Linked DNA regions of Neodiprion lecontei. The protein of the gene in region 2 purifies or fractionates together with the protein of the main gene of each other region. This does not show direct contact. Links are inferred from orthologs where the notes say so. Each region holds a gene or a part of one and is shown on either strand. Other genes may lie near its edges. The genes, in order: serine/threonine-protein phosphatase PGAM5, mitochondrial; kelch-like ECH-associated protein 1B; serine/threonine-protein kinase 10; DNA-binding protein Ets97D.

Region 1 (8,668 bases), on a different chromosome or scaffold from region 2:
ATTTCTGATATCCTGCTATCGATATCATCATAAAATGATCCCCTATGCACAGTTTCCGGATACAGAAACGCGATTGAATCGTTCTTTTATGTTAGTGTTATTACACCATACCTCTCTTTTGACCCTTTTTATAGCCGTTGCAGTGATCTGCAATCGCGCGGTTATCATGCCGCCCGTTTTTCGGAAGGTTTCAAACAATTTCCGCTTCCCTCCTATTATACATCTATATTGCTACGCTATCTGACGAACACGTTTGGTATGATTGTATGTTTCAGTTGAAGATATGATAAAGGAAGTGGACGTCGACGGAGACGGTCGCATCGATTTTTACGGTAAGGCTTATATCATACCTTCCCCTTGGACCCTTTACTCGTGTAGCGGGGAAAACGCACGGCCGTGTACCATTTTCCGAAACGGTAAACTTCCGGTTCGTAAATAATCAAATCGGCCGTGCGAGAATATATTTACACCATAGGTACACGGCTGTGTGCGGAGAATGATGCATGCAGGACGAGAAGAGACGAACCGAGGGATTTGATAAAAATGCATTTTACGAGATCATTGTAAAGTTTATCACCTTTTCATCCCTATCGCGAGCCGATTCACTGTAAGAAGGCGAAAACTGCGATGACAATGGGGTGATTCGCGGTCCATTTTATTATCTTGTACCTAGATAAATCTTGGGAAAACACTCGACGTTCTGTAAAAACTGATGGGATATTTCAGATGAGATTCAATTCTCTATATATTAATTAGTTGACGATTTCACTCGGATGAGACTGGATAATAAAACTTTATTGATACATTAACGAAAACAACGTGATTACTAACAAACAGCGTGGTTACTAAGCTAAACAATGCGGTTGCCAAGTTTTTTTTTTTTTTTCAAAGACAAACAAACAACACTCTATGCGCATCCATGCACACTAGCGCTCCTCTCGTCAACCACACACACTGTACCTCCCTTACAGCACACGCAGGCATGGGAGATACGAGTTGGATAAACTCGCTTTCGCAACAAAAACATGTAGATTCGCAAATTATAAGTGCGATCGAATGAAAAAACCACCGAAAACACATCTGCACTTCGTGTTAATGATCTTCTTTTGACGTGAAAATTTTCAGATCTTTTCTTTCGATACCGGGCCGAGCCTTACGCGTCTGTTATTAATATGACATAACAATTTTCTTGTCGAATTTTAAACTCTACAGAGAGAGAGAGAGAGAGAGAGAGAGAGAGAGAGAGAGAGAGAGAGAGGACCAGGCATAAAGCTAAGTGCACAAGTTGACCATTTGCTAATGCCACATAGATCGTAGGTTTCTCCGAGGGAGAGCCGTGCCTACGTCTAGTTTGGCAAACTTGTAGCCCTCCGCGATTAGTTCTTGCTCATGTTCTCTATTGCCCCGAGAAATACCGCATGTGTTGCACGAAAAGCAGCCGAGGGTCGCGCGATCGGAAACTCGGAGGAGGGTGCAGTTCCCACGAATAACTATTCAGAAGAAGCTAGGCGATTCCCTCTCTCTCTCTCTCTCTCTCTCTCCATCCCTCTTGCGCTCCCAAATCTTCGAGCCGATCGCGTCGTCCCTGCAAAAGTTCAACACTTGAGTGGATGATGGCTTAACAGGGGATGCGATGCCTGAGTAAGTTCTGTTTGCCACCCTTTGGGTCAAGGGGTGAGGGGTCGGAGGTTGGGGGATACCATGGGCCGTAGGTCCAGCATCTGCAATCGAAATTAGATTTGATAATAAAAGCGCGCGGTGTACGCGGTACCGAATGAATAATTCGAAGAGACGGTCCTCGTCCCTGAAGAACGGCTTGAGTAACCTCCTATTTGACTCTTGGACATTCGCAATTACTCCGGTGACCGTAATGCAAAAATAGGGGAAGAAGATCGGCATTCAAACTCGTATAATTCGAAAAATCGATTTAAATATATCAAACCTTCATCCGTGAGCAAATTAAACTTCATCCGGTGAATTTATTTTAACAATACGACGGAGACAATTATTTTAGAGATATTACGAGATATTTGATACTAAACTACGTAGAAAATCTGCACAGAAATCCGGCGGTGGTTTTTTAAAATTGTTTTTCAAAATAATGGAGAGCTTATCGTCTAAAATTGAAATATTGAAACATATTTGCAGAGAACTTCTTATCGTTAAAGATTTAAAGATACTTTGCACAGTCGCTTATGCGGCGGAAAAACTCGAGGCACGAGTCGTTAATTAGTTACACATTGATGTTTTTGTTTTTTCGGTTTCATCTTGGGGATTTTCCCGAAGTCTAGCGCCTCCGAATTCCCGTTCGCATTGCGCTTCATACGAGACGACGTAGACGCGGATCACGCCAAAGTCTTGAAAAAGGGGTCATCGGGATCACAAGGCGCGCACGTTTGCCTTTTACGGCTCCCCAAATCCTTAGGAAATCTACCTCCCGCTTCTGTAAGACTGATGCATAGCTTTTACGTGTCAATTTGCCAGACTAGCGATTCTCGCTTATCCGGATATAGGTGTGTAAAAGCAGGGCATTTTGTAAAATCGAGGGTAAAAAAGAACCCTACGCCGATACGCTTTCGAACTCTCTGAAACGTTGAATCACACCCCACGTCGATGTACGAGTATTCGTCCTTCGAAAAAATACTCACGTTAATTCAATGTCAATTAATTTCCGACCGTCCGATTCCAGAATTCGTCCATGCGCTTGGCGAGCCGGGGATTGACGAGGACGAAGAGGACGAGGAAGACGAGCCCCAGTCCCCAGCAGACTAAATTCTACTGTATCTTCCGCTTCGATCTTCTTAGATAGAATAAATTAAATATTTGCCGTCGATAAAGAGCATCTTTGTGCAGCACTGTGTCCGGAGGGGTCGCGATCTTCAATCTTCGACCTTCTGTGCGTGAAGAAAATTAAAAGTTTTCGAATTCCCCGAAAGTTGTTCAATATATTATTCTAACGGGGCCACAAGGGCAATGGATTTGGTTCAAATATTATCTTTTGATGAAAAGAGAAAAAAAAACTTCGGTTTTTTCCCTAGCAATGAGGTATAACGCGTCTTGATTCGTTTTTCGGGGTTTTTGATCAGTCAATTTGTACGAATGAACGAATATGAAAAAAGAAAAGGTGAGGAGAAACCAGGTAACATCGAACGTGTTCCTATTACTCGGCACCCCTAGAAAGCACACGTGCAACTTTTCGACGGCAACAGAACCATTATCGAAAACCAGTCGAATATCAAGATTGTAAATGTACATTCGATTTCTGTACGGTCGCAGTTTAAACTTTTAACTGCTTCCAATCTAACAAGTAAAAGTAAGAAATGCGATTCCAGAAGTCTTCCTTTTATTATACCTTCCTTCTTCGAGATCTCCCAATTTAAAAGTTGTCGTATTTTTGTCCGGTTTTTGCTCAATCTAGTGTGAAAGAATTGCGACTGGTATTCGAAATTCGAAATTCGAGAACATATTTTACAAGCAATTAAACGATTTTAAAATTCAAACATATCCTATTCTATCTCGTTTACGTAATCGGTAATAAATATTATTACGTAGGAAAAATATTCTTTACTCGTGCAACGTGAGCGTAATTTTTTCGTTGACGCAGGAGTATCATATTTCCACTGTGGATCAATCTTGTGAATATGAAACATTTGACGACGATGATTTACAAAAAAAAAGTAAAAAAATAATCGATATCCCCATTTCTATATCATAATGTCTACTATAATGTGGAGTGTCGTTTTTCATGCTTGTTCAAAGATACACATTATACATTTCTATAACGTTGTTGACATTATAATAATTATATCGCGTACGGATGAAGAAAAAGAAACCTAAATGAATCATGGTACCTACTATTGAACATTTTTCAGATTATATTCGTCTATATTGCTAAATACTTTTATTAAGTCTCGTACCTTAAATATCTTATTACCTACTATGCTAATAAATAATTATAACGATAAACTACATGCTGTTCCAAATATTTTGAAAATCTAATAAATCGATCACAAAACGTTACTCACGCAATTTATCTTTCACTCCTTCCACCCGTACCCTTTGCCCACTGGCAGTGAAAATCATCGACTTTTCTACCAGATGTGAGAGAAGGTCTAATTTTTCACGATAACGGACAGCTTGGGAAGTCGTGACGATCATACTATCTCTGGTCTAATCACGCACGTTTCTCAGTTACTCGGATACTTCAGGCGAGAGTTCGCTTTCATTAACTTTCCCACAATCTATCATTTTCACAGCCAGCAATATAATGACTTACTTAGATTAGTTCAAGGTACCTGCTGAGCGAAAAAAGATGTGACATGAGTACAGGAATCACAGGAAATCATTAGAAATGTTTTTTAACCTTAGAAGTTTATAATTGGCTGCTGAATTCTTTGATTGATGCCAACTTTCAAAATTTCAAAATTACAATAACCTGACAAATAATTATTTCCATTAAATCTACAAATGTATACGATCAACACAATCGAAATATTTTGAGGGGAAAATTTACAAGTGATCATGTACTTTGAATGATTGAAACAATGATAACTATTTGTATTATGTCGGTAAAAAATGATGTAAAAGATGCCGTTCAGTTTCAGGTGAACGTTATACATGTATCGATTCAGCAAAATTTTGTAAGAAAAAACTGCAACAGATAAAACCCAACGTTATCGTTTCAAACATGAGACCTAAGAAAACGAAAGAAATGAGTCACCTTCATACCTCCGTAAATTTCAATCTAAAATACCCATAAATGTAATACGTGTATGCATATTATATTGCATTAATTAATTAATACTATCTACTGTAATACTAATTTACAAATGTATTCAAATTTAAATTAAAAGTATTTTGATGGATTAAAAAATAGAAGATGTTTCACTTGTTACTTAGTAGACAATTAGTTTAGTTGGCAGTAACGTTTTGAGGTAACATATGCCCAGTGTCGCCTAAACAACGCAGAGTAACTCTACCAGAAGGAGATATTCTAATCCAAGTAATACTTGCGTGATTCAATGACAAACGTAGCCAAGCTTCTGGCGGAAATTGCAGAGCTCTGTAAAGAAAGTTAGAGACTTTTTACAAATTTTAAGAGGTATTCATGTTATCGTATTATGGCACATTGCGAGGGTAAAAACAGTAATTTATTCAACATTTATTCAAGAAATGACCTGAGCGAAAGTTATCAATCTTTACCTGCAGACGAAGTATCTTATCACGTTTGCGTGACAAACGAGTACGGTATAGGAATCTTGCGTCTGCTTAGGATCTGCCCTGTGAAAGTATCTCCTGAATGCGGCTTCTATTCTAGCTCCATCTTGAAAGAACTGCTGCAACAAGCTGCTTATGAAACATGCTTTACACAAAGAGACGAATAACGGAACAACATCTTTCATATATACTCTACGCTTGAAGTCACTATTCTCTTGCTGTGGGAATTTATAACTGATTGCAAATTAAAACGAGCATAAAACGATTCTGAAGAAAAACGAAATTGACAACAATACTTGTAATGCTTACATAATTTTCAGGTTTCCAATGACCAACTGGTGGTTCGGGAGGAATAGGCGCTCCTTCTTCCAGAAGACTGTCGTCTTTTGTAGGAACTTCGGGAAAATTCTTTTCTATAATTTTAGACGTCTCTTGCGCCCGACTCATCGTCGATCTGACGATCAGCGTGTAAGGGTAGTTCAATTCAACGAGGCGTGAGCCAGTAGATTCTGCCTGTATTCTGCCTGAAATATGAACATCGTAATAAAATCTGAAATGCTTATTAAAAATCTGCAGAAGCAGTTTGTGCAGAATATGATATCCAAATCTACTGCCAAGAGCATTGGGAACCATAAAATCCTGTCGTCTCAAAGCTACTCACCGAGATTGGTAAGAATTCTCTCACAGTCGGTCTTCCCATTTGTATTGTACTGTCCATGTCGTATAAGGAACAAATTACGTGTAGCGGTCACTTTTTGCGAAGCCAGATCTTCATTGTACCTATTCTCATCAGATTCAGAGTTGATCTTGACAGGTTTGACCAAGGACTTTGGCTCACGTCTGAAAAGTGCAACATCAAAATAGAATGAAAGATTCAGAGTAATACTGTGATTTTGTGATGGCAAAGTTAGGCTCCGTATTATACAAATTTCATTTTCCATCCCGAGGACAAGAACGCGAATTACAGAACGTCTTTACATGTTAGAAACACGAACTACTATGCTGCGTGTTGGTTATGTCGAATGAATTAAGCACGTGAGTGTGCAAATAAGAGATTCAGATAGGAAAAAATTTGCGTGATTCGCGCGTTCCACCAAAAACAGTGGGCAGATAATTTTGTAGTCCAATCGATCCTAACCTATCCCAATTGTGCTCCCATTGTACAGATGGAGTGAAATTCGTGGTCCAGGAGTTAAGCACATGCATAGATTCACCGCCGCCGTAAACATTGTAATAAAGCAGTGCAGCTCCGCCGACAACGCCGAGTCCGGAGATGGCATATTTTTGAAATTTCGTTAATCCTGGCATTTTGCGATAACTGGTTACATAAATCTACATTTATCTTTACGTCGTGCGTGTGAAAAGATGAAATGACGTTTTTGAAGCACGAGCCACACACACGCCGGTCACAACGTCGGTGGAAGCTGTCGTCCAACCGTCGTCAGCTGTGGCAAAAAACGAACTTCCATAGAGTTTGTGAAAATGTAGAGGGTAGGACATGCTCTGCCTTTCCGCTCAGCTACCCATGCCGTCGTTGACTGAGGATATAAGTATAGTGTGATTCACTGGGGGCCGAAACAGTGTGCGAGAGAAGTTTAATGTATGTAATTCAACATTGCCCCAGTGTAGTCGGCGACAGTCGGGAAGACCGTGGTCGGGAAGCAGCAGAGCGGAGAACTGCGGAGAAGTTTCCCGGCACTAGGAGTACGAAACGCGGGAGTTCCCCGACGCGATAAACTCGTACGGTGACTCTAGCTGTGAAGTGCATTTATTCAGATTTTTTCGACCAAGAAGGATTTGATCCAGACCGTCCAGACGCTTATGCTTTATGCTAGGCCTTTACACGAGAGTTGCCACTTTCTAGTTCTTACGTTAATAAGGATCCAGTGAAGTTATTAAATCGTAGAGCCAAGTGAAGCGCAATATTCATGGTTTCGGGGCACTGACGTGGCAAAATACCATGGATAGGTCAAACCCACCAGACGCTGGTATGTATGTGCATAAACGTCGTTTGTTCGTGATCAACATTCCATTTAAACGTACATACATACATCAAACTTCCTCAAAGAAAAGTGTTAAGTTGCATAAACGTTATACCTATTTTCCTAAAAGTGCAGTCATTGGAAGATTTGTATACAATCGTAACGATATATTTAGTATTATTTCACAAAACTCTATCTGTTATTTTGATATGTTCTTATAAATAGTAAAGTCGTATGTAATATTCGTGGTCTGTCAGTTGACTGATTAATTTCATAATTTTAGCTTGAAGAAAAACATGTCGGTATACCATAATTCATCAAATTTTACCGAGTCCATAACTTTGGAAGTAGATTATAAGCTATAAGAAAAACAACAGATCAAAACTCATGCTTTTTGTTTTATTTACAGGGCAACGTCCACATTGCAGATATCGTGGAAGAAATAATAATGTGAATAACAGCAATAACAGAACACCATATCGGCGTAATGATCATTCCCAAGATCATAATGCCAATGCAAAGTGAGTTCTCTGAACCTGATACAATATCCAACAATTTCCTGCTTCTGAATTTTACTATTGTGATCAAATTTCCAATTATTTTGCACTAAACATTTACAAATCGTATTTGGTAGATCACCCAGTTGTTCCAATTATTCCTTGTACAATAAGAACTTTTTTTGGAAACTTACAAATACTGTCTCTATATGCTATACAAAATATGACATTTGGTAAAATTCAATTCCTGTTCATAATCTTCAATTTAACCTTTAGACTGCCGGAAAGTCTAAATATAAGTTTATGCCAGTGATCGAACTTTTACATATGTTAGATATAAGATGTAAACACAATATTTTGAAAATTTCTGAGAGAAATAAAGCTCTAATTCCTCTAATAAAACCAACTGTAATTTAAAGCTTCATAACGATAATTATCACCATCAGTCCATTTATTGATCAATTGTAAATATATTACACACGGATATTTCAGTACTGTACAATTATTCTGTTTCAAAATTTACTGAAAAAAATCTACTACTTAGTTGCATTTTTAAAATTTTTTTATCTAATATGTAATCAATTTTAATTGAAGGAGTATTTGAACAATCGTTTATACTTATTGATAGAACGAAACTTAATAAGCAATTGTACTTTGCGAAGTCTTATAACATTTCTTGAAATAATATGATATTCATTAATTTCACAGCAAGAACAGAGGTCAGCATCGTAGCAGAAGTAGTGGTGCCAATAGGCAACCGACTAACAGAGATCAGTATAGTACACGATTCTTCAATTTCAGACGGTTGAATGATTTGAGTATAAGCAATAGTGATGATGTTGTTACAACATTAACCAACAAGAAAGCTGACTTCGAAGAATTATTAAACAACATTACCACCCCAGATCTCATGGTGGTCACATTGCGAGTTTTGACCAATGTTTCGCAAGCTAATTTTGCTGAAATTGTAAC
Region 2 (8,305 bases):
AATGAAGTAATTAAAGTTAATTACGTCCACGTGATAATCACGAATGAATGATGACGTCACCTGCATATGCTTCTATTTACGATTGGCATAATCGAATCTATCAGTTCTGGTTGAAGCCTTGATATATGCACAATGTCAATGAGTGCTTGCATGGTATTATCCCATTGATTTTCCTTCAACTTCAGTAACGCTAGCTTCAGCGCATCTTGTGGTCTTTCAAAGTTTAGAGCTGCTGTCGCATAATTTTTGTCCTGTAGCTTCATATTATCTCCACCAGGATAAAGCATGCTTTTTTGATTTAAACTGGTTCTGCTGCATTCGGTATACACGGAATTGCTGTGTTCAAAGGAGGTATATAAACAAGCTAGCATTGTTGCTAAGAACTTTGCAACTTGTCCAAAGCTTCAATCTTCATTAATTAAGGGGAGTCTTTGGTGAAACTTTGACCAAAACACGGGTTTTTAATTCTTGACTGATTAAATAAAGTCGATTAAGAAAAATCTTCTACCAATTTTTAGATTATGGTAGTATAGGCATTGAAAAAAAAAATTCATTCTCCTGCGATCAAAATGTACGTACGTACATACAAGGAACCTCTCCAAGGAGATTCTGCTCACCGCTACCCAAAATTCTTTGCGCATACACTTTCATCACAGGAGACTGTAATTTTCTCTAAAAGCCAATACTACCATAATTTGAAAATTGGTGGACGAATTTTTTTTATATGACAATTTTCAACCGATAATCAAAATTGAACCGAATTCTCTCCGTAATGAATATAATATCTGTAGTACCTATGAAGTATTTTTGGTAAGTGTACATCCCCGATACCCTCTGTGGCAGAAAAATTAGAGCTGTAACTCGAAGAATGCCTCTTTAGCTTTGTATTTTCAGAATTTATAGCTGGTAGTCGTAGTGAACGCTTAGGATGAACAAGTGTGGACTTTTCTTGACTGAAAGAGAGCCTTGACTTATCTTCATTGCAATACCCTAAAGTTAAATAAAATTGAATTTGACTGTTAATAAACTTTTACTGATATTTCAAGTTGACATAAGTTTTTTCATTACCTTTTCCTAGACACATAGGACAGGTAGTCGGTTGATTTTGACACTCCAGTGGCAACATGTTTAATCGCAGATTTGTGTTTTTTAAAATTTTTTTTAATTTTACAGAAATTATTCAATATTTAATGGGACTAGTTTCATCTGGAATTTGAAAAGTTAGTTCTAGGTCTTGAACGTGCATTTTGATAAACAATGGAAATACAAAATGACTGCCTTCAGCTTGCAATATTATACTATGTGGAGTAAACTCCTTTGATATTTGCGAAAAAATCATCAACATTCCAATTTATTCTTGTCTTTTTAGTCCTTGTGACAGGTACTGATATTAAAAAGTATTACCAATTAACGAATATCTCATGGTTTTTCCAATCACAAATTATACTATTAATTAGGTGTTTGCATAGTTACTAAAATAATGTACAACAATCAGTTGCGTAAACAGAATGAAGAGAATTATAGAAAATAGATCATTCGCCCTATAGTAAATATGGGTACATCGTTTTGTTACTGATTGAGTGATCTTTGGAATTGCTTTCTGCTTCTAGTTTGTATCACTAAGATTGTCCCACTTGCCTATTTTAATTTTTCACTTACCAAAGATATCTAGGTGAAGATATGAAATCGAATCAAACTTGTTTTGTAGTCTGTTTGAAGGAACTTGTGCACAGTTCACTTTTCTCAATTTATGTAAGCACTTTCTAGGCAACTCAGAATTCAAAAATATCCTCTGCATAGCTTCACTACCTGCTTGATTAAGATCAATCTCAATATAGTCTTATCTCCTTATACTATCGTTACACTATATTATTATACTACACGTCATTTACAAATAAATAAATTAAATCGCGTCATCAGGTCACAGAATTCGACATAGGGTGTCAAGATGTGCGTTTCGTTGATCGGTTTTCACTAGAAACAATGTGATGTTCCAAGTGATCACAATGCAACGGACATTGGTGATAAGAAACCGCACTCGCATGACCTGATCTACCCGAAGTCATAGGCACTCCTGGTTCCCATTGATCCTTGGCTGGATCGTATATTTCTACTATACTTAAAAAGGTCTGTCCGTCATACCCTCCTGTAACGGAAAAGAACAATAAAACTTATACATGAAATGAGAGAATTCAAATTGTCATAAAAAAAAAAAAAAATCGTGTCAATTACGATATATACACAAGACACTAACCCATTGCATAAAGTTTTCCATCTAGAACAGTTACGCTCAAAGCACTGCGCGCAACTGAAACATTGCTCACAAACTCCCATGAATCATGTTCCGTATCGTAACGTTCTACTGTGCTCAACTGACGAGATCCGTCATAGCCTCCTACCACATAGATGTACTGCCCAAGACTTGCTACACCAGATCCTGACCGACAACACCGCATGGGAGAGACCATGGTCCATTCGTCATTTTCTGGATGATAACATTCTACTGAACTCAATCTATGCATTCCATTAAATCCACCAATTGCGTAGAGCAATCTATAAATACGAAATTTCAGAGTCAAGGTTTTTTTTAAGTGCCCGAGAAAGATTGCTTAATGGAATCTTGAAAAGCATTCGTCATACCTATTTACTACAGCAACTCCGACTCCTAATCGTTTTGTGTGCATAGGTTTAACATTTGTCCAGGTATCCTGATCCGGGTCATAACATTCAACGCTGTTGTGATATTCTGCACCTGCGCTGCCACCTACCGCATACAATACACCATCCATTACAGCAACTCCCACTCTGTTCCTTGGCACTGACATGGGATTACAGGGTCTCCACTGGTCAAGAACTGGATTGTACCTGTCCACCCAATCACTGTCGTATCTTGAAGATGAGTAAAAAAAACTGTTTGTTAACGATTACTTGAACTAAGCAGGTGAACCAATATCTACATGTTATTAATCTCACCTGTTTCCTGGCGAATTGTTCCTTCCACCGATGGCGTAAAACATGCCTTTTAAAAATGCTCCTCCAAGTCCGGAACGAGGCACTGTTAACTTAGCATGTTGACTCCAAACTTTGTCGTCGGCATTATACCCTTCAAGAACATCCAACGAATGTCTAAGAAATCCACCTGCTATGTAAATGACTCTTGGTGTGTTGGGTGTCCTCTCTTTGACGACTGGTTTCTTATGCAATGTTAGGTCTTTAAAAATTTGCGCTAGATACTCGCGGCAGGCTGGAACTTTTTTTAAAACATCGCAATTTTTCATTTGTTCCCTAAGAAAGCTCGGAGTCAAATACTGACACCGAACTGCGTGCAATATATGTTCCATTTTAATACCGCGAGATTCCTCGTTGTATTTCACCCATTTTAACACTGCATTATAAACTTCTCTTTCTTCCTGTACATTAAGTTCATCTTTTCTAATTAAATTAATTAATTGTATGGCCGTAAGTTGAAGGAATTCTTCTTCTTGACAAATTCTGCTAAAGTGTTGCACGATAAATTGATTTGCTTTGTGATGTAAATCGTGACAACCATGCTGTTCAGCAAAATTTGCAATTCCGATAGCATTTGTTGGGTCCAATTGCCTCTCGAGAAATACGCAGCATGCATCTATTACATTGCCAACCTGTAATTCGAATGTCAAATATTTCGACACATAGCTAACAATAAGAACGATCGTGTATTTTATTCAATACATATCAGCTATGGAATACTTTTGAACATTTCTCAGCTTATAACCTATGACAATTACCTAGGAATACTGTACCTGAAACATTGTCGCCGCAGGTAATAACGAACAGACTGTTACTTCAGTTACTCTTATTTGTCCCGTGTACATGAAATACATGAGCCGAGCCATCGCTGTTGGACAAACCCCTTGCAATTTGACTCTGGTCATTTCACATTCTTTAAGACCTCCCGTGAACATTGCCTAGAATTTAGAGTAAGAAAATTTTTATTATAAACAGACACGAGGTATTGACAGTATCACTGACTACGAAGCAGTAATTGAATGAACGCTTTCTGTAATTCAGCAGTGTTAAATTATTCCTGACCACCGGGATGTTGTACTATCAACACTTCAAGTATTATGAAAAAATCAGGACTTACAAAGTGAGGCATTGATTGATATAAATGAAAATCAGACGAATTTGAATAAAGTATGTTAAATTATTTGAAGTGATTGTTTTTTAAACAATATACACGTAGTAACTGAAAGTTAAAAGATGTTTATTTCATGATTCTAGACTGAAAGTAATATTAGCTGGGAATAACTAGATGTGGATGAGGTGTAAAAAAATAAAATGATACCTTAAAATAAGGACTTGCCGCAGCCAAAATGACTTTGTGTGCATGGAACAGTTCTTGTCCAACTTCTAAGATAACGTCGGTAAGCATGTGATGACTTCGCATCATAAACATCATTTTCATAGCTTCTTTTATATAATTAGCCATGCAAAATGTCATATCGCCAAGGTCTCCATGTTTCTCATTACCCGGACTAAGGTTCTGGTCCTTTTCTTCACTGGTATCAACTGCTGCATCACTTCTACCGAATGATGTGAAATTACACCGACTTCCTTCCATCTGCGAATAATCCTCTTCACCATCCATGATGATCTATCATAAGCTAGGTAGAAATTGAGTAAAATTACTTTTACTGTTATCAATCTGTTATCACACGTTCTGGTTGTTTTGAGGGACTAAATAGTTTTTCAATCATGTCGTTATCTCAGATTTGAATACAACGTAAAATGTAATTGACAATATTAAGTCTATTTGACAAAAGAAAATATTTCCATTCAAACAAGTACAATTTTCCATACAGTATGTGACAAAAGCCTAGATCGGAAATGACAATGAATAAATGATAAGAAAAAATGGAGTTAAGTGAAATCATAAGATATTAGATAAAAGAGTATATCGTTTCTATTTGTGGAATTAATAGTTTCATTGATGAACGTCTTAGCATTGTTATACATCTGGTCATTCTGTTGGAATCTAAATATAATTAACTTTAGTATTACAAGTGCAGTTATTGCATATTGCGTATGAAAAGTAAATTTGCGTACAATCAGATAGGTGTACCAAAATAGGCATGTTCTGGCAAGCACCGGTATAGCAAACAAGGTGTACCAGAACAATATTGTGTGTGACGTAAACTATATTTTGGTTCATTTTGGTAGCTGTACCAGCGGCTTGCCAAAAAATGCCTCATATGGTTTTTAACACATGATACCGAGCATGGAGTATCGATGATGAAGAAATGCAACACATGCACGGGCGCAGCAAGGGTTTCGGAAATTTAAGCGGCCCATAATATTTATTAGGTATTTCTATAATAACTTAATGTGTGTATGTACCTTGTGTCCGTAGCGTTGAACAGATCCGAATCAGATTAACTTTGAGGTTATAAACCACACAAGTAACGATTTTGACTATGTATCTCCAGAAAATGACACCATTTACCAATTTTACATCCTGAAGAGTTTTCTGTTTATCATGATTCCCGCATGACAATGAGTGTTTCAAAGAAATTTGTAACGACTACACTTGGGCGAAACACAACAATACGGTATGCAAATTAGCGCACAGTAAGTTGACGGTGTTAAACGTCAGTTGTGTATTATTTTATTTTCACGAGTATTTAATTTTCCACCGCCCAACGTGTGACAAAGTGGCAGAAATGTCAAAACTGAAATTTACTATTTACGCAACGTGTCACTTTAAAACGCGCGAAAAAACCTGCACGTTGATATCCACGAGAAAAAGAAAAAGGATCGGCAAGAGGACAAACGTTTTTCCAAATATGCGATTTTAACATCTCGATTAGTTGTTGGCCATTGAGTATAAGCTCTATATCACCTGGAGGGGTCAAATTTCGGCTAGAATGACTTGCTGATTCAAATATGTAGTTATCTCCGATCATGCGAGCTTTCAGCCTTTGGCACGTAACTTACTGGCAGCGCATTCATACGATATGCATGTGTGTATGTACGTAAGTACGTCATGTAGGCCTCTGGAGAAGGCACTCGTATAAAATATACACACATATAAGTCTATTGTTGATTGAATAGTTGTCGGACACTCGCGACCAGATATCCGTTGATGAATGGAATTAAAATGAAATAACCGCAAGGGGTGTTCACTATGCAGTTGTCAAGGAATCAAAACTGCCGTCGCAATATTTTGATAAAATAATTCGAGTAATATGACCTATACATGTCCACACATTCACGCCTGCAGGTCAGCTTAGCTAGCTATTAGCCTTGCTTATTTTCCGAAAGTCATTATGACTATGCGATTCACGGAACGTACCCAGGAGACCGAGTAAAAAAAATTTTCGTACATCACGTAGACAGCTGTTTTTTTTATCACAACTATACTCAATGTTTTCTTTCGTCTTGTTCTTTGCACACTCAGGGGACCTACAACTGTATAACGATGTGCAACACTGATGCACCTTTATAAGATCATTTTCATTCAGTTTACGAGTGGTAGATTACTATTGGACCCGCGGGCCTTGAGGTAATAAACGCAAGTCTCGAATGACAATTGACATTGGTATTTTCTAATCGAAGCAATGTTCGGTTACGTATCGTTCATTTGACGAAGAATTTGGTGGAGAGGACAAAGCAGTCTCTTCATTTTAACATCGTTTCATACGGTTTACCGCAAAGGACAATTCACACTGTGACCTCTCTCACAATAAATCTTTGGAGACAGAGCATGACTGGCTTAAAGCCACCGCAGCATGAGATTGCTTTTTCCTTTGTACTTTACACTTTATCTGTACATTATTTATAAATCTATCGTTCACGCATACGTGTTACGTATCGCGGCTATTATACAGGAATATGATTTAGGGAATTCCAGAGATAGATACAAGATGTAACATAAGGATCGAATGGGATGATTTAATATATAGTCTCAAACCTGAGACAATATAATATTTATTTTATAATAATATGGAGTTTTCATCAACAATAACAGTGTAGTAGTAGGCGTAACAAGAGAGACGAGGTAGGTCACGAGGAACCTAACCTAGCTTACAACCGTGCGCTACCAGGTCGCGAGTTAAAATACTGAAATGCTTTGATTTAAATAACTGAAAAATGATAAACTATCAGGCGGATATGATCGCGATTCTTTATACTGTTTATACGGTTATCTTCGTTACAGAGTTAAGCCTCCGTTATTAAAATTCTTTCAGAATTGTATACTACAAAGGCAGACTTGGCAGCGCATGATTAAGTCAGCCGGGAGACCAACCTTTGATTCAGACTTTATTTAGCGTGAGAAATAAGATGATTTTCGTTTTGTGAAAGATGGCCCAAAACAAGATAAAGATAAGTAACAGAAAAATCTTCCACGTGACTCACTGAAATATAGTACGCATTATTATATTTCAGCGACGTGTCTAGATAGAAAACAAAGGACAGTAAAGCGACTCAACTAAATCACAGATTGATCCCACCTGTTTAAATATTACAGCTAAAATTAGTTTAGTAAGTCTATGTTTGATTTCCTTAGGCTCGGGTGACTCTAGACTGGCCCCCTATTATTTGTATTTTGATCACTCTTTAATAAATTGCAATATCAATTAGTTATTCCTCATCATCTACTGTAAGAATTCAATTTATCAGAGTTCGACATTGTAGTATATTATTATGTTATATATTATTTATTTGTTTATTTATTTACTTTTATTTATGTGTTTATTTTATTGAATTTTATTTTATACTTTTACTTTACTTCGATCTCCTTCCTCGACATTTTCTTTCGATATATATCTCATTAAATTTATGCTGCTTTAGAGATTTCAGTACTGATAGCAAACCTTTACCGAGCAAATTTTTTGTAAAATGCATATGTAGAAGCCTCATACTGGTAATATAAAATGACAAACTGAGTGCGAGATTCTGTATCATTTTATATTTGATACGTATACTCCTATCACTCCTCACTGGCAATTCCGTTAATTATATTCTATCTTCAGTCGGCAACCCATATTTCGTTTATATTGCATGTGAGAAAATTTGCATCGGTATTAATATCCATAGGAACCTACTGATTACGACTTTCGAGAGTTTAATAATAAGTATAATTATAGTCTTTCTAACGATAAACAGTCCAACTAAATATCTAAATATTCTCTAATATAATATAGTGAAATTTCCAAATACAATAATACTAGTAAGTAAAGTATTGGGCGGATACGACTACTCCTAAGGCCTCGCTTATGAATCATTTAAAATTAATTCTTTAATTTAGTCCCATGCATTCACT
Region 3 (5,471 bases), on a different chromosome or scaffold from region 2:
ACAACCTCTGGTGCCATCCAATAAGGCGTTCCAATGAATGTGTCGTGCTTCTGGAGGGTGTGCTTATTTTTTGCGGAAACCCCAAAGTCGGCTATTTAAAGAAAAAATGTGCCTATTAATATCAGTGGAAAGTAAATTACAACTCATCGTTCGGTACATAATACCGATTGGCTGCTATCAATAACGAATATACCTACGAACGAAACTTACCCAGTTTAACGCCGCCTGCCATAGTGAGGAGAACATTGCCAGCCTTAAGGTCTCTGTGAATAACTTTGGCTTTATGAAGAAAGGCCAGTCCTTGTGTCATGTGTTGACATATATAAGCTATCTGTGGCTCGGTCAAAGCCTTTTCTAGTTCAACCATTATCGAATCCAAGGCACCGCCGTCGCAGTACTCGATCAACATCTGAAGATTCATACGTCGATTGAGATATCTTAATGAATTGATAAAGACAACAGTAATTGTGTTGCACAGATGACTGGCCAACATCTGAACAAATGATAAATTTAGATGCCTCGATCTGGTAATCTAGCAAATGCTCTGTGTACACACCCACAGTTTTCCCTCCATAAAATAGGCCTCGTGTAATTCCACGATGTTTGGATGCTTGCACTCTGAGAGTATATCAATTTCAATCATGAAATCTGCAAGGTCATCCTCACCTTCTAATGCACACATTTTAGCTGCAGCCAATTGCTGAGTCTGTTTACTCTGTGCCTAGTAAGAATGACAGAAGAAAGTTCAAATTACTAAGTACTTTCATTTGTGTTTTGTATAAAGATTCAGGGATAAAATCACAACAATGTAGTTGCTTACCTTGTAGACTTTGCCAAAAGCACCGTCTCCAAGTTCTCCGATCATTTCCCAAAATTCTTCCGGGTCGCAATCCATTTTAATATTATTGAACAACTTTTTCTTCTTCGCGTCATTGCCACCGAAGTGGAATGCTTTTTTCAAATTTGATAAAAACGACATTTTGAACTTATTACACCCTAAAACTTGACTAACAAATAAACGAAATTGACTTGGTCCATATAATTGATTGAAGCATGTCAGGCTTCTGGCAAATGACTATAAGACTTATATTGAATAATTAATACAGGACCTTGTTATATTATTTCATATAAAGCGCAAGACAGTAATTATAATCAATAACGAAGATGATTCATAACGCAGACGTGAAAATGTCACAAACGTTGTAAGATATATCATCAAATGTAACGTTAATACAAACATTAAAAAAAAAAAAATTAGTACAGTCCAGTAAATTTATCTTTTCACATGTACAAAAGTAAATCAGTAAACATCCTCGACTTGATTCCTAGGCAGGAACCGAATTGAACCAATAGTTGTGGTATTCAGACCCCCTCGACACGTCGAGGTATCGTCACAAATCTCTCCCGCATCTTGACGGATTTAATCTTCAATGGTGTCTAGCGAGCCAGTACCGATACTCGTCGCCAGTCGGTGTGGGTCATCAAGGGCTAGGCCCTTCATTTCTTCCAGACATCCAAGATTGAATGAAAAATTAACCACTTTAGAACCTCCAAAATCTGTAACAGAAATATTCAATTCATGCAAAATTACATAATAAAGATACATAAAGCTCTTGATACTAGGTTCTTAAAAACATTAGGTACTTTGGGACGTTCGGTCACTTCTTTGGGTGATTCAATTCTCTATCTAGACCACATTTGCAAGCCTGATGGAGCTGTTAATTTAACATGTGATATTAGCTATGAGTGAGTGGAAAAATGAAGACAGAGATAAGAAAGATAAGCATAAGCGTGAGCTTGTAACGGAAGGTGCATCGTCAGCGGTCGTAAAACATACCTACACCCTTGGCCTTGATCCAAGTCAGGTTTCCAATACTGATTCAACAAATACAAGTGGCTGTTTAGACAGAGCAGTGATATTATGAATTTCAAACGTATAAATATTAACATGAAGCCATCACGTTGAACAATGATTCTAGGTATATATGTACGTAAAAATGCGTCGAATTAATGATTAATACAGCTGATCATACGATCGACATCGTTTGGTTAGACGTCCACCTGCGTATTTGCGAGTTATCAAGAGATGCAAAGCACCTGTTTCATACGTTCCAGAACGGAGACATTTTTACGCTGACGGCAAGAAGTTTTTCCTCAAATTCGGGAAACTTAAAGTAAAAAATAAGTCCAAAAATTATCCGATAACGAATTCGTGAAACGAAATTTTTCTGTCACATTGAGTGTTGTTTTTGTTGGCCTTTTTTCTCCTCTTTATTTTTCCACATACATTTACATTCCGATCGGTAGTACTAAAACTACAGAACCAACGCCAAACGGCGTAATAGTTTCTTAATCGATAACCGGAGGTTATATTTCAGTGAAAGGCTGCAAAAATATAGTGAAAATAGTACCAAAATCTGTATGTAACACAGTCGCTCACCTAATCGACCAATCGGTACCAATAGTCATCTTATCCAGCAGCCTGTCGAAGGCACGGCACTGAATAAATGACACTCGGTGTACAACAATATTGAAGTAATATCACAGAATAGAACCAGTTTCAATACGAAACGGCAAGCGAGATAAGCGGGAAAAATTTACGTTTGAAATTATATGGCTTGATAAATCTGGTTAAAACACGGCCATTTTCAGCGCACACACGACTCTCAAAGAGACACGGACACACCACGCCTGGAAGTGACGTAAACCGCTGATCCACCCATGTTCAACCATGGAGTGTATTGTACATTGTGTGTGTATGCGTACGTACGAGGCAGCAGGGGGGGGGGCGCACCGTACCCAACCTTCGTTCAACTTTAAACTAACGCGCGTATTTATCGAGGGTTAAATTGTCAGGCTAGTCACCGATGGCTATTGCTGTTTCTAGCAATTGCACGGTCAACGTGCAGTATCCGTAAGTCGGTACGCATGTACTCCCAAGGAATATCAAGACTGGCTATTGCCACGATACATACCGCCTTTCAGCCCCCCACCCGCCATCGCCATGGACAATCAGTCGGCAACCCAAAGACTGTATGTATAGATAGAAAAGAGAAGGAATAATAAAAATTCAGGTGCATGCAAACGTCGTGTCGCGTGTCAACAACGTACGTAGGTATCATCTGCGGAGTATATATGAATACATTTATTCTATTTCTGACTGTGATGCGCTGCTGTATGTACGAATTCGTATTCGTAGTTATTGTTGTGGATGATATTTTGTCAACTGTTGTCTTCAAGCAAAATAAAATTCTCGGAAATCAGACGCAGACTAGTTGCCGAAGCTCGATTCTTCACTTCTTGGAGCAGACGCGTTACAGCTCATTTCTCGTATGTTATATTATTAAATTATCGTATAGCCTGCGAAGCCCTACGAAGAAAATCCTGTTATAGTCCACGGACATCAAACGCTCGAACGATTCCGATAATCGGTTAGGTTAATGTATAATTTGCAAGTAAAGATGTAGTGTACAGGTGGTTCGACATTTCTCGATTGTAATATTCACAAAAAAATTTTTGTACAAGCTCACTAATTTCCAATATAAATTGTTTCAATCGCATAATTCGATAACTCGAAAATATACATATAAATATATAATCCAATTCACATACACTACATCATAGCTTGTTCTTCGGTAAACAGACACTTATTTGAGCGTAAATCCTGCAGATTCGTTCGCAGTAGCAATCTGCATCGTAGCTTAGCAGAGTCCAAGGTAGCAGCAGCTCTACGTGAGAAATCAAGAGAATTGTATTGATTCTGTTTATTCTAATATTAATCACAAGCCGTCGAGCAGCTGGGTACTGTAAATTTTTGGTTAAATTTATGTAATCCGTGCTTGTAACGACATTCTTTACGCATCATTGTGTATCTCCCACTCAACTTTACTCTGGTGACTCTGGCGAGTCTGGCAACGGTGTCGGACAGCACGAGTAGTAAATAGTCTACAGTCACGGAGCCGTTTTCATCTCTCTCGCTTCGATTGGGTCTAATTTGGTCTCATTTTCGCGTAGCCGTCGCTGCAGATCACTGAAATATACCAAAGGAACCTGTAGTTCCAGTAGTATTACATACCTATATGAGTTCCAGGTAGAGTCCCGTAGTACAGTCTCTAGAGCATATACTTAAAGCATACCTACTACTGGAGGGAGCTACCTATCCCATCGACCTCGCGAAAATGCAGCCGATATGATTGATATATATATATATCCAATCACGTATAGAGCGAGAGAGACAGATTATACCAACATATACTTCTCTCACTCCTTCGCGACACTCAGTACACGCAAAGTTATCTCTTAAGGGTAGAGTAGAAATTATTACAGTGATGCAGACTTTCTACATGTCAAATTTCAAGTGTTTTTCTACAACTTAACCCCGAAACTTCAGCAGGTCTGGGAAAGGTTAAGAACGAAAATATGGGGCTTTTGGTTATTGCAGCCAAAGACGCATAATACATATTAACATACCCCAGCAAAAGGCCTTGCAACCGATAAGTGATTTAAATTGGTTTGCAGGGTGCAGACATACATCAACATATCGAGGAACTAAGATGGCAGGTAAACCGACGCGGGGCGTTTTTCAAACAATCTGGAAACATTTCATAGAGTCGGTTAAACCACGTAGATTTAGAGGAGATCTAGTAGGCACTGATCACTTTGGTACCAAGTATTATGAAACACCGCTACATTCCACAAGTTCAAAAAAAAAACCACCACGTTACTTCGAACCAGTGAACAAAGATGACTTTCAGCAAGAAGTACCTGCTGAATGGGAAGCGTGGCTAAGGTATCGCAGAAAAGAACCACCGTCAGATGCTGAAGTATTGCAGAGTCTGGCACTGATGAAAACTAAGAAGAAAAATGCAGCTGAATTGGAAAGTGCTTTAGAAGCTACAAGATCCTCAAAGTCAAAACCGGCACCACTGCCAGAGGCGATTGGATTCCCAACTTATAAAGACTATCAGTATCCTGAAGGATTCAAGGACAGCAAAGAGTAATGTTCAGAGGCGCTTGTATAATGTTTTCCACTGGCTACACTGGATACTCACTAAGTGCATTTCCTAAGATTCCACTTCTGCTATTGTTTGGAATCTGGAGAAATAACACTCAGTGTGAATCAAGTGCAACCAGTGAAAAATGTTATGACTTTAGTTTAATACTCTAGCGAATTGTTAGAATGTGATTGCTGATTGTTTTCGTAGCCTGTGTATAATATAATTATCGATGACGTACATGTTATGTAACAATCGTACACAATAATTTGTACTTTTGCGATGAATCCTTCAACTTCAATAATTTGTACAGTCACAAAGGAGAGTTGATTGGTAGAAATCAATTGTTCATAGTAAATTCATGTCAATACTCTGTTTCAATAGAAAGCATAATTGAAACCCCTTCGTTTTTACTTTACCTCATACTCTTTCCTTACTCTGAAGATGACTCACGATGTTTAGTAATCAATACATTTA
Region 4 (7,167 bases), about 6.5 Mb from region 2:
TTGACCGCGAGAACAAACAACGAATGAGAGAAGAATTCTTGCAAGAAATTATAGAGAAGGAAAATAACGAGGAGGAAGGATGAATGGATGGAAATAAGGAAAAACGGAAGGCATGGCGGGCGGGCGTGTATAGCCTGCCGCATCGCCGATTCCCTGAGACCCTAACTTGTGACGTCGCATCCGATATCTCACAGGCTAGATTCTCTGGTATTGGCGATGAGTGCTGCCTTTGCCAATGAGTAGTATGTCAGTTCCGGTGTGATGCTCTGTGTTAAAAGTGAATCGTAAACGATCGTACCGCAAAGAGAGAGAGTTCGCAATCACTTTACATTCGAGTTTTTCTTATTGTTTCTTTATTTTTTTTTTTTTTACCTTCACTTATTTACCGTTGCTCCTGTTGTAAATGAATATATGTATGTACATATGTATTTCAACTACGTAATCATATTGCTTTTTTTTATCCAAAAATAACTAAATAATTTTCGTTTATTTCATTTTCATCATTGAAATAAATTTTTACCATCAACAGTTGTACAAACTTTCACGTGTACGTAGGATATATACTATATGCATGTAATGTATATACAGTTATTTATCGTTTGTCTATATAAACTATAGATATGTTAATAAAAATAATTGCGATTATTCAATCTTGCATTATTTGGTAAAACTTGTTTTATACATCTACAATCCCCGTTGATATAAAAAATACAGAATTTCTAATGTCAAAACTGTTATTAACGCTATTCTGAATTTTACGATCTATTACCTACTATCTATATTATCTATAAATATATATATATATATATATATATATATATATATAAATATATATATATATATATATATACACACATATATATACATTTATAATTATAATCCCTTGTTACTTAAATACGATCAAACAATTGCAAGGTTCTGTCAACAATAATTTGAATACACAAGTACGCTTTCAATCTTGTATCATGTTACAGAAGCGAAACCAAGATTCATAACTACTTCGTCTTTATTTTACTTGGAATTAAAATATATATGGTATCATTACGTGGAAGAAGTCAATTTTGGTTTAGGAATGTCCTGCATATCGAAAACTTTGATCGCGGCTTATAAAAAGATTTTCATGTACAAAAGTTAGCCAAAGCCGTTATTTTATTGGTAAATAGTTTACTTCGATCTTGTTTTTCAGGAGCATTACTCAACTTGACTAGGTGGATCTTCGCACCTAAAGCTGACTCCTTTCACATATACTCCACTTTCATGTACATTAACAACCTTGTCTTTATGTCAACTACGTTTGCAAAATGTAATCCATAAGAAAAGAGTTTTAACGTTGAACAGATTAAATTCACACCAAGAAGCAAGAATGATTTAAAAGAACCACAATTCTACCGTTTCAGTTTGTTTCTTTAGTGGATTTAAATCTTACAGCGACAAAGTAATAATAATCTATTGTTTATAAAGTTCATGTAAATTTTTCCTTGCTTGCCGTTCGTTAATTGAACTCTTTATTGGCAAATACTCCAACTGTAATAACATCATAACTGTGTTAACTGCGTATTACCACACTTATATTCTTTTCAGAAGTATCTTCTACCTTCTTCGACAAGCCGACTAAGTTCCGCGGCAGAATATCCTAACAGCTGTTTAAGGTCGCAAACAAACTTGTATACGAATCGCTTTCCATGAACTTTCGATATCATGTCCCCGTCATAATAATACCGGAGTGCTCTGCTCAGTTTTTCATAATTCATCGAAGGTTTATTTTTTCGAGCTCCCCAAAGCTGAGCGACTACTTCGGGTTGATTAAGTTTAAACTCTCCTTCCGTTCCTAACCACTGAATAGCTCCTCTGTGCTCTCGATCCGTTAATAATTCCAACAGAAATTGCCACAGTTGAATTTGACCGTTGCTTCCTGTTCGGTTTGACGTCGCAATCGTTATTCCAGGCGAGTCAACACTTCCCATCGGAACACTCACTAACCGGGGCTGCTGATTCAAACTACGTGCTTTTGGGGTCTTCTGATTCCTGACCTTTGCCGACTTAAGTTCGTCGGTATTACCGTTTGATGCCATGGGAGGATCCTTCTGGACAACAGCTGCGAAATAATTATTATTTATATGAAATACATGTAATTTCATGAAATTCAAAAAAATTTTAACAAATGTGAAGAGCTAAATTCTGTAAACCACTGTTAGAAATAAGTACTTGTAGAATTTGAAATAGAAAAGTGAAGCAAACAGTAAACATATTACAAATACTTACCAACAAACTTGCATTTCCTGAGCAACTCCAAATGTGTCCAAAAAACATCGCCAGGATCGAGTGGAACTTTTGATTGAAATTCGTCAAGGGTTAAATTGCAGAGTTGTGAGCCTGTGATGTTCCAGTCGGCTAGTCTCAGAGAAACTAAATTGAACTGCCTGACAGCCCACTGCAACCAATGCTTTACATGGGCTTGAGACCAGTCTTTGGGACTTGCTGGTATTTTCAGACGTTCCTAAACAGACAAATAATATACTGTAAGTGAAAATATTACTGAATATCTTTATCTAACTAACTGAGATTGTTTACCTGTTCCTTCCTATACTGTGGGTCTACCATCCACCTGATGACATTCTGCTTTCCCTCTTCATTGGGTGTTGCCGCCGCTGAGCTTTGCTCTGCTGTATGATAGGATGAGAAAAGTAAGACTTTCAGCATGTAGAGATATTAGTATTAGTTTACTTTGACAAATGAGAAAGATACACGACTATCATAGTACTATTTAATTGGCGTGAAACCTTATTTTCTGCGATAACAAAACAGACATCTGTCATGTGAATGGTGGTTCAAACTTTGTAAAATGAATTTCACTTCATTGGCTATTAGCTATTGATAGTGGTCACATGGAAACAAACAAATGACCATTTTTAAAAAAAAATGAATGAGTGTCATCTTGATTCCAAGATGATTATTGATTTGATTTCAATTTGTAGTTTCTAATTTGTAGGAGTGAGTATGAATGTTTTTGAAAAGATGTATTAAATTTTAATTTTAAAAATTAAACTTTGCTGAGAGGATATGGCAAAATACAACATTGTTTCTGTTCACAAATTAATTAATTAACACTTTTCTGAGGAGTTTGAGATCTAAAAAATTGCAAGCATACCAAATATTTACTTGGAACCCTAAGATGACAAAGTAATGTTGATGAAATAAGTTATTCAATCAGTTTTATACAAATATACATAAATTACTGATAATTAAATCACATCAATACATATCATATTTGAATGAAATTTATTTGAGAATGTCATTAGAAACTAATAATAAGAGTGAACATGTGCAATTTTGACTGATCTGACATGCAAAATGTAATAGTCACAAATTTCTTAGCGCAGTTGCTTAGAAAAAAGCACAACATTGGATACAAAAAATTTACTCACATGTGTTTTCAGCCAACTCGATGTAATCTTCAGCAGGTTTCAAGACATCCACAATATTAATGCGTCTCTGATTGGCTTTTATTTGAACATTGACTTGTACTAGTCCCTCCCCCTGAACGCATTGGTCAACCAAATTTTTGTGACTCTCAAGCTGTTGATGTAATTTGAATTGTAATAACGAGGTATACAACATATTGCAAATGCGTTGTTATTGATAAATTTTCATTGGTATTTCGTTTCTTTCATATCACGTACCATCTGAGCATCTTGGAGCCAAAAGGAATAGTCCATTAATTCAACACCCAGTCTTTGTTCGAGTAGATTTCTTAAGGTTGATAATGGCTCTCTTATGTCCATGTGCTGCATCAGTACACCTTCGTTAGCATCGTCTCCATTAGTTACTCCGTCTAGTGCAAAACTGGGCTCTACTTCTAAATCTGAACTCTCCTGCTGAAGCTGAGCCATTATGTCATCTTCCTGGGACAAAATTGCTTCTGGTTCCATCTTTATCCTTTTTATCATAACAAAATCTGAGTCATCATCCATGTTGAACCTGCGAATGAGATTAACAAATTATCAGATACAGTTGGCAAAAGGTTAACTAAAAAGGATGGGTTCAAGAAGGATACCTGATTGCTGTATCTTTTTTCGATGGTAGTGTAGTAAGACAAGACACTTATCGTTAAGCACATGCGAAAATATCCGAATGCTCAGTCAGAACGGGCAGAACGAGCGTTTTCTTTGGGGTTAGGATACCGTGATTGACGAAGTAAACAGAATTTTTTATCCGTCATAAAGTTACGTCGATGGTTGGAAACAGATGCTTCTTACGTGTTGCGAATTGAAGAAATCTTACAGTCATATAGCGGTGATCTAATTATATAAAAAGAGAATGTTAAATTAAGTCAAGTATTTTAGGTTAGGTTAGGGTATTTTCCCTAGCATACAACAGATTCGGAGTACAATGCGGATGCTCACCCTTTTTCCGAAATTTTTCATCGGTAATTTTTTTCCATCAGTGACCTCGTCCTTCAGAAAAAATCCACCCCTTGTAAACTTGATCGTCAATTAAGTACTGGTACGCAAATTCGTAAGCTTGATGAAATTGTGATTATGAACTTTTCGCACGCGTATACAATGACAGACGCACAGCGCCACGGGCGCCATGGGTAAAAAAAAAACATTCCTTGAATTCACTCACCCATTGGCTGTCCTCTATTCCCGATGACGCGGACGGTGTCTAACTTTGTAATAACTGTCGCGTGGGTTCAAGATATGGAGATGCTGGCTTAATGTTAAACGTCATCTGTATGGCGTCATTCGTGTTTCTGATTCAGGCTCTAAACCACAGTGAAAGAATTAAAAGTAAAGTAATACGGAATGGTATTGACCATAGATGTGGAATTGCACATTCCTGCCGCATGGCAATGAGATTGAAGCAAGAATTTTACAAACTGTCGTTTAATCGAAGATTCCAAGATTCCTAGTTAACCTACAAGAATTTGACAATTTGATGTCTTCGCTGTAAAGGTTTTGTAGATTTCAACATTTTCAATTTTTGTTATTTGAACTTCATTTCATCACCTCGTAATGCGTCAACTGTCTGAAATTTTTTTTCTTTAAGATTAATGGAACAGCAGATAATAAAAATGTTTTTTCGCTTTGATAAAAGTTCATTTTTTTTCTCCCTTTCTAAACATACAGAAAATTCAGTCGAACTTTGAAAAAATGAAGTATACAACCTCGCCTCCAATAAGTCGCAGCACTTCCCCGTTATCTTTCAAATCAGGGTCCCCGCTACCAATGCCAGTGACTTACAGGTATGTCGAACCTCATACGAATCAACCGGAGCTCTCAACTTACCATATAATTATTCCACAGACAGGACTGCATGGGAGCAGCAACAAAATGCTATAAGTATCTGAGGAAATTATTGAAGTTTGAGCAGATGGATTTTGAATTTGCTCTTTGGCAAATGTTGTATCTTTTTACAGATCCACAAAAAGTATACAGAAACTTTCAGAGCCGAAAGCGTGAGTTTAAACTTGAGATCAAGTCTGAAACCATAAAAATTAGTGACGTCTTCATTGATAACTGAAAATAATCTCAAAGTAATCTAACTAAATACATAATCTATTTTCGTTTTTGATTACAAATAGTTCTGATATATTGGCTTTTTGATTGTGTAGAGACAAAATCCCAGTTCGCCAGGGACGATCCTGCATTTTTGGTTCTACTGAGTTGCTGGTTGTGCATCTCATCGATAGGCTTTGCAGTTGTATCAGGGCTAGGATTTTTCCAATTTTTCAAATTCCTGTTCTACGTCATTTTGGTAGACTGTATTGGAGCAGGGATAATTGTAGCCACGTTATTCTGGTAAGGATTTACTCAAATTTGAAAAACCTGGTACTTGTTCATTTCATTCAGGCAGCAAAACAGAAAATGTATTCAGTTTTGATGAGATATCTTCAAGATACAGTTGATTAATTAATTCTACTTATTTCTAGGTTCGTAAGTAATCGTTACTTAAGAATTAACAATGTCCAGGATGTCGAATGGGGATATGCATTTGACATTCACCTTAACGCGTTTTTTCCACCTCTTACGATTCTACATTTTATACAGCTATTTTTGTATAATGGTGAGAACTATGCATTTATTGGAAATTTACTGTAACACCTACTCATGAATATTAGAATTCCCAAATTGGACTTGACCAATCTTGCAGAATACATATATCAAGCGATGATTCACCATTTAAATATTCACCGAAGATGAATTAATGATGATTCGTTTTCACAGGACTGATAAGCCACGAGGGATTCTTTTCTCGATTCATTGGAAATACATTTTGGCTAATCGCTGTTAGCTACTACATTTACATTACATTCTTGGGATACGCTAGTAAGTATATATTACATGTTTTTCGTATTTTTCCAATTGGAGACAGTATTATAGCAAATAGAATCCATCATATATATTTGTAGATGTAATTCTATGGATTGTAAGTAAAGAAAAATAATTATATTTCTTTTAGGTGTACAGATCCTTCACAAAACACACTTGATATTAGCTCCGCTACCCGTAATGGTCTTAACATATATTATAAGCCTGGCAATAGGCTTGAACATCAGCCATCTTGTGATGACCTTTTACCTTGAACGAGTTGTTTAAAATTGTACATGTTTTGAGATAAGAATAGAACTATTATTGTATAGTATATCGTCTGATTTGCAAATAAAAAAACTTCTGTATTATATACTTCAGTCCAGAAAGAAATGTTACCGTATCCGTGATTATATACCATATTGTTCTGAATGGTAGTCGACTCCGGATACAAGTCTACCTCTAGTTTTCAGTCTGCATTTCGGGACAGTTTTTAGGTACTGAGTATAAGTCGACTCCTACGACAAAATTGATATCAGAAAAATATATTTACATATTAATTTATAAATTGCAAAATTTTTTGGTAAGTACATTTTATCAAAAAAACTTGGGTAAATGAAAATATCGCAGGTTGAATTCCATTGGTCTAGTTTTATGATTGAACTATTAATCAAAAGAAATTTCAGTCCGGTAAATTTTCTAATACTCCCGACTATAAGTCGACCCCGCGTATAAGTCAAAGACAGTTTTTGGCGGTCATTTCAGCAAGATAAACCTTGACTTATATACGAAAGAGTACGGCATTTTTGAACTAGTTGTACGACATTACTGATACGATATTGTAGTCAAGTTTCCT

What was found.
Region 1: the proteins of kelch-like ECH-associated protein 1B (region 2) and serine/threonine-protein phosphatase PGAM5, mitochondrial purify together in Homo sapiens (affinity purification with western blotting; 6 studies listed by BioGRID and IntAct, with this or other methods). This does not show direct contact. The link is inferred for Neodiprion lecontei from reciprocal best matches to the Homo sapiens genes KEAP1 and PGAM5.
Region 3: the proteins of kelch-like ECH-associated protein 1B (region 2) and serine/threonine-protein kinase 10 purify together in Homo sapiens (affinity purification with western blotting; 3 studies listed by BioGRID and IntAct, with this or other methods). This does not show direct contact. The link is inferred for Neodiprion lecontei from reciprocal best matches to the Homo sapiens genes KEAP1 and SLK.
Region 4: the proteins of kelch-like ECH-associated protein 1B (region 2) and DNA-binding protein Ets97D purify together in Homo sapiens (affinity purification with western blotting; 3 studies listed by BioGRID). This does not show direct contact. The link is inferred for Neodiprion lecontei from reciprocal best matches to the Homo sapiens genes KEAP1 and GABPA.

Annotation. Positions count from the first base shown.
Region 1 is NC_060262.1:36,220,473-36,229,140, reverse strand, and holds serine/threonine-protein phosphatase PGAM5, mitochondrial, read right to left. Parts: upstream 6,661-8,668; 5' UTR 6,526-6,660; coding exon 6,356-6,525; intron 6,058-6,355; coding exon 5,879-6,057; intron 5,742-5,878; coding exon 5,527-5,741; intron 5,337-5,526; coding exon 5,203-5,336; intron 5,063-5,202; coding exon 4,912-5,062; 3' UTR 4,026-4,911; intron 3,804-4,025; exon of another isoform or gene 2,895-3,803; 3' UTR 2,773-2,894; coding exon of another isoform or gene 2,690-2,772; 3' UTR 2,649-2,689; intron 1,722-2,648; exon of another isoform or gene 1,586-1,721; 3' UTR 775-1,585; downstream 1-774. Other genes in the region: calmodulin, read left to right, coding at 276-332, 2,690-2,772; NFX1-type zinc finger-containing protein 1, read left to right, coding at 7,178-7,205, 7,609-7,720, 8,405-8,668. UniProt on the Homo sapiens protein: Mitochondrial serine/threonine phosphatase that dephosphorylates various substrates and thus plays a role in different biological processes including cellular senescence or mitophagy. Modulates cellular senescence by regulating mitochondrial dynamics.
Region 2 is NC_060263.1:38,075,464-38,083,768, reverse strand, and holds kelch-like ECH-associated protein 1B, read right to left. Parts: upstream 5,945-8,305; 5' UTR 5,380-5,944; intron 4,647-5,379; 5' UTR 4,631-4,646; coding exon 4,328-4,630; intron 3,948-4,327; coding exon 3,783-3,947; intron 3,642-3,782; coding exon 2,974-3,641; intron 2,890-2,973; coding exon 2,641-2,889; intron 2,554-2,640; coding exon 2,255-2,553; intron 2,147-2,254; coding exon 1,944-2,146; 3' UTR 1,127-1,943; coding exon of another isoform or gene 1,069-1,126; 3' UTR 1,012-1,068; downstream 1-1,011. Other genes in the region: uncharacterized protein LOC107225684, read right to left, coding at 61-336, 795-990, 1,069-1,126. UniProt on the Homo sapiens protein: Substrate-specific adapter of a BCR (BTB-CUL3-RBX1) E3 ubiquitin ligase complex that regulates the response to oxidative stress by targeting NFE2L2/NRF2 for ubiquitination.
Region 3 is NC_060264.1:26,525,198-26,530,668, forward strand, and holds the start of serine/threonine-protein kinase 10, read right to left. Parts: upstream 3,711-5,471; 5' UTR 3,613-3,710; intron 3,112-3,612; coding exon of another isoform or gene 3,079-3,111; exon of another isoform or gene 3,064-3,078; intron 3,034-3,063; coding exon of another isoform or gene 2,929-3,033; exon of another isoform or gene 2,866-2,928; intron 2,683-2,865; exon of another isoform or gene 2,441-2,682; intron 1,898-2,440; exon of another isoform or gene 1,838-1,897; intron 1,696-1,837; exon of another isoform or gene 1,645-1,695; intron 1,558-1,644; 5' UTR 980-1,557; coding exon 821-979; intron 722-820; coding exon 557-721; intron 410-556; coding exon 211-409; intron 92-210; coding exon 1-91. Other genes in the region: NADH dehydrogenase [ubiquinone] 1 alpha subcomplex assembly factor 2, read left to right, coding at 4,554-5,000. UniProt on the Homo sapiens protein: Mediates apoptosis and actin stress fiber dissolution.
Region 4 is NC_060263.1:31,529,262-31,536,428, reverse strand, and holds DNA-binding protein Ets97D, read right to left. Parts: upstream 4,588-7,167; 5' UTR 4,404-4,587; intron 4,299-4,403; exon of another isoform or gene 4,055-4,298; intron 3,979-4,054; 5' UTR 3,972-3,978; coding exon 3,681-3,971; intron 3,577-3,680; coding exon 3,426-3,576; intron 2,664-3,425; coding exon 2,572-2,663; intron 2,498-2,571; coding exon 2,263-2,497; intron 2,096-2,262; coding exon 1,578-2,095; 3' UTR 765-1,577; downstream 1-764. Other genes in the region: protein unc-50 homolog, read left to right, coding at 5,154-5,245, 5,307-5,458, 5,615-5,801, 5,933-6,066, 6,228-6,329, 6,463-6,599.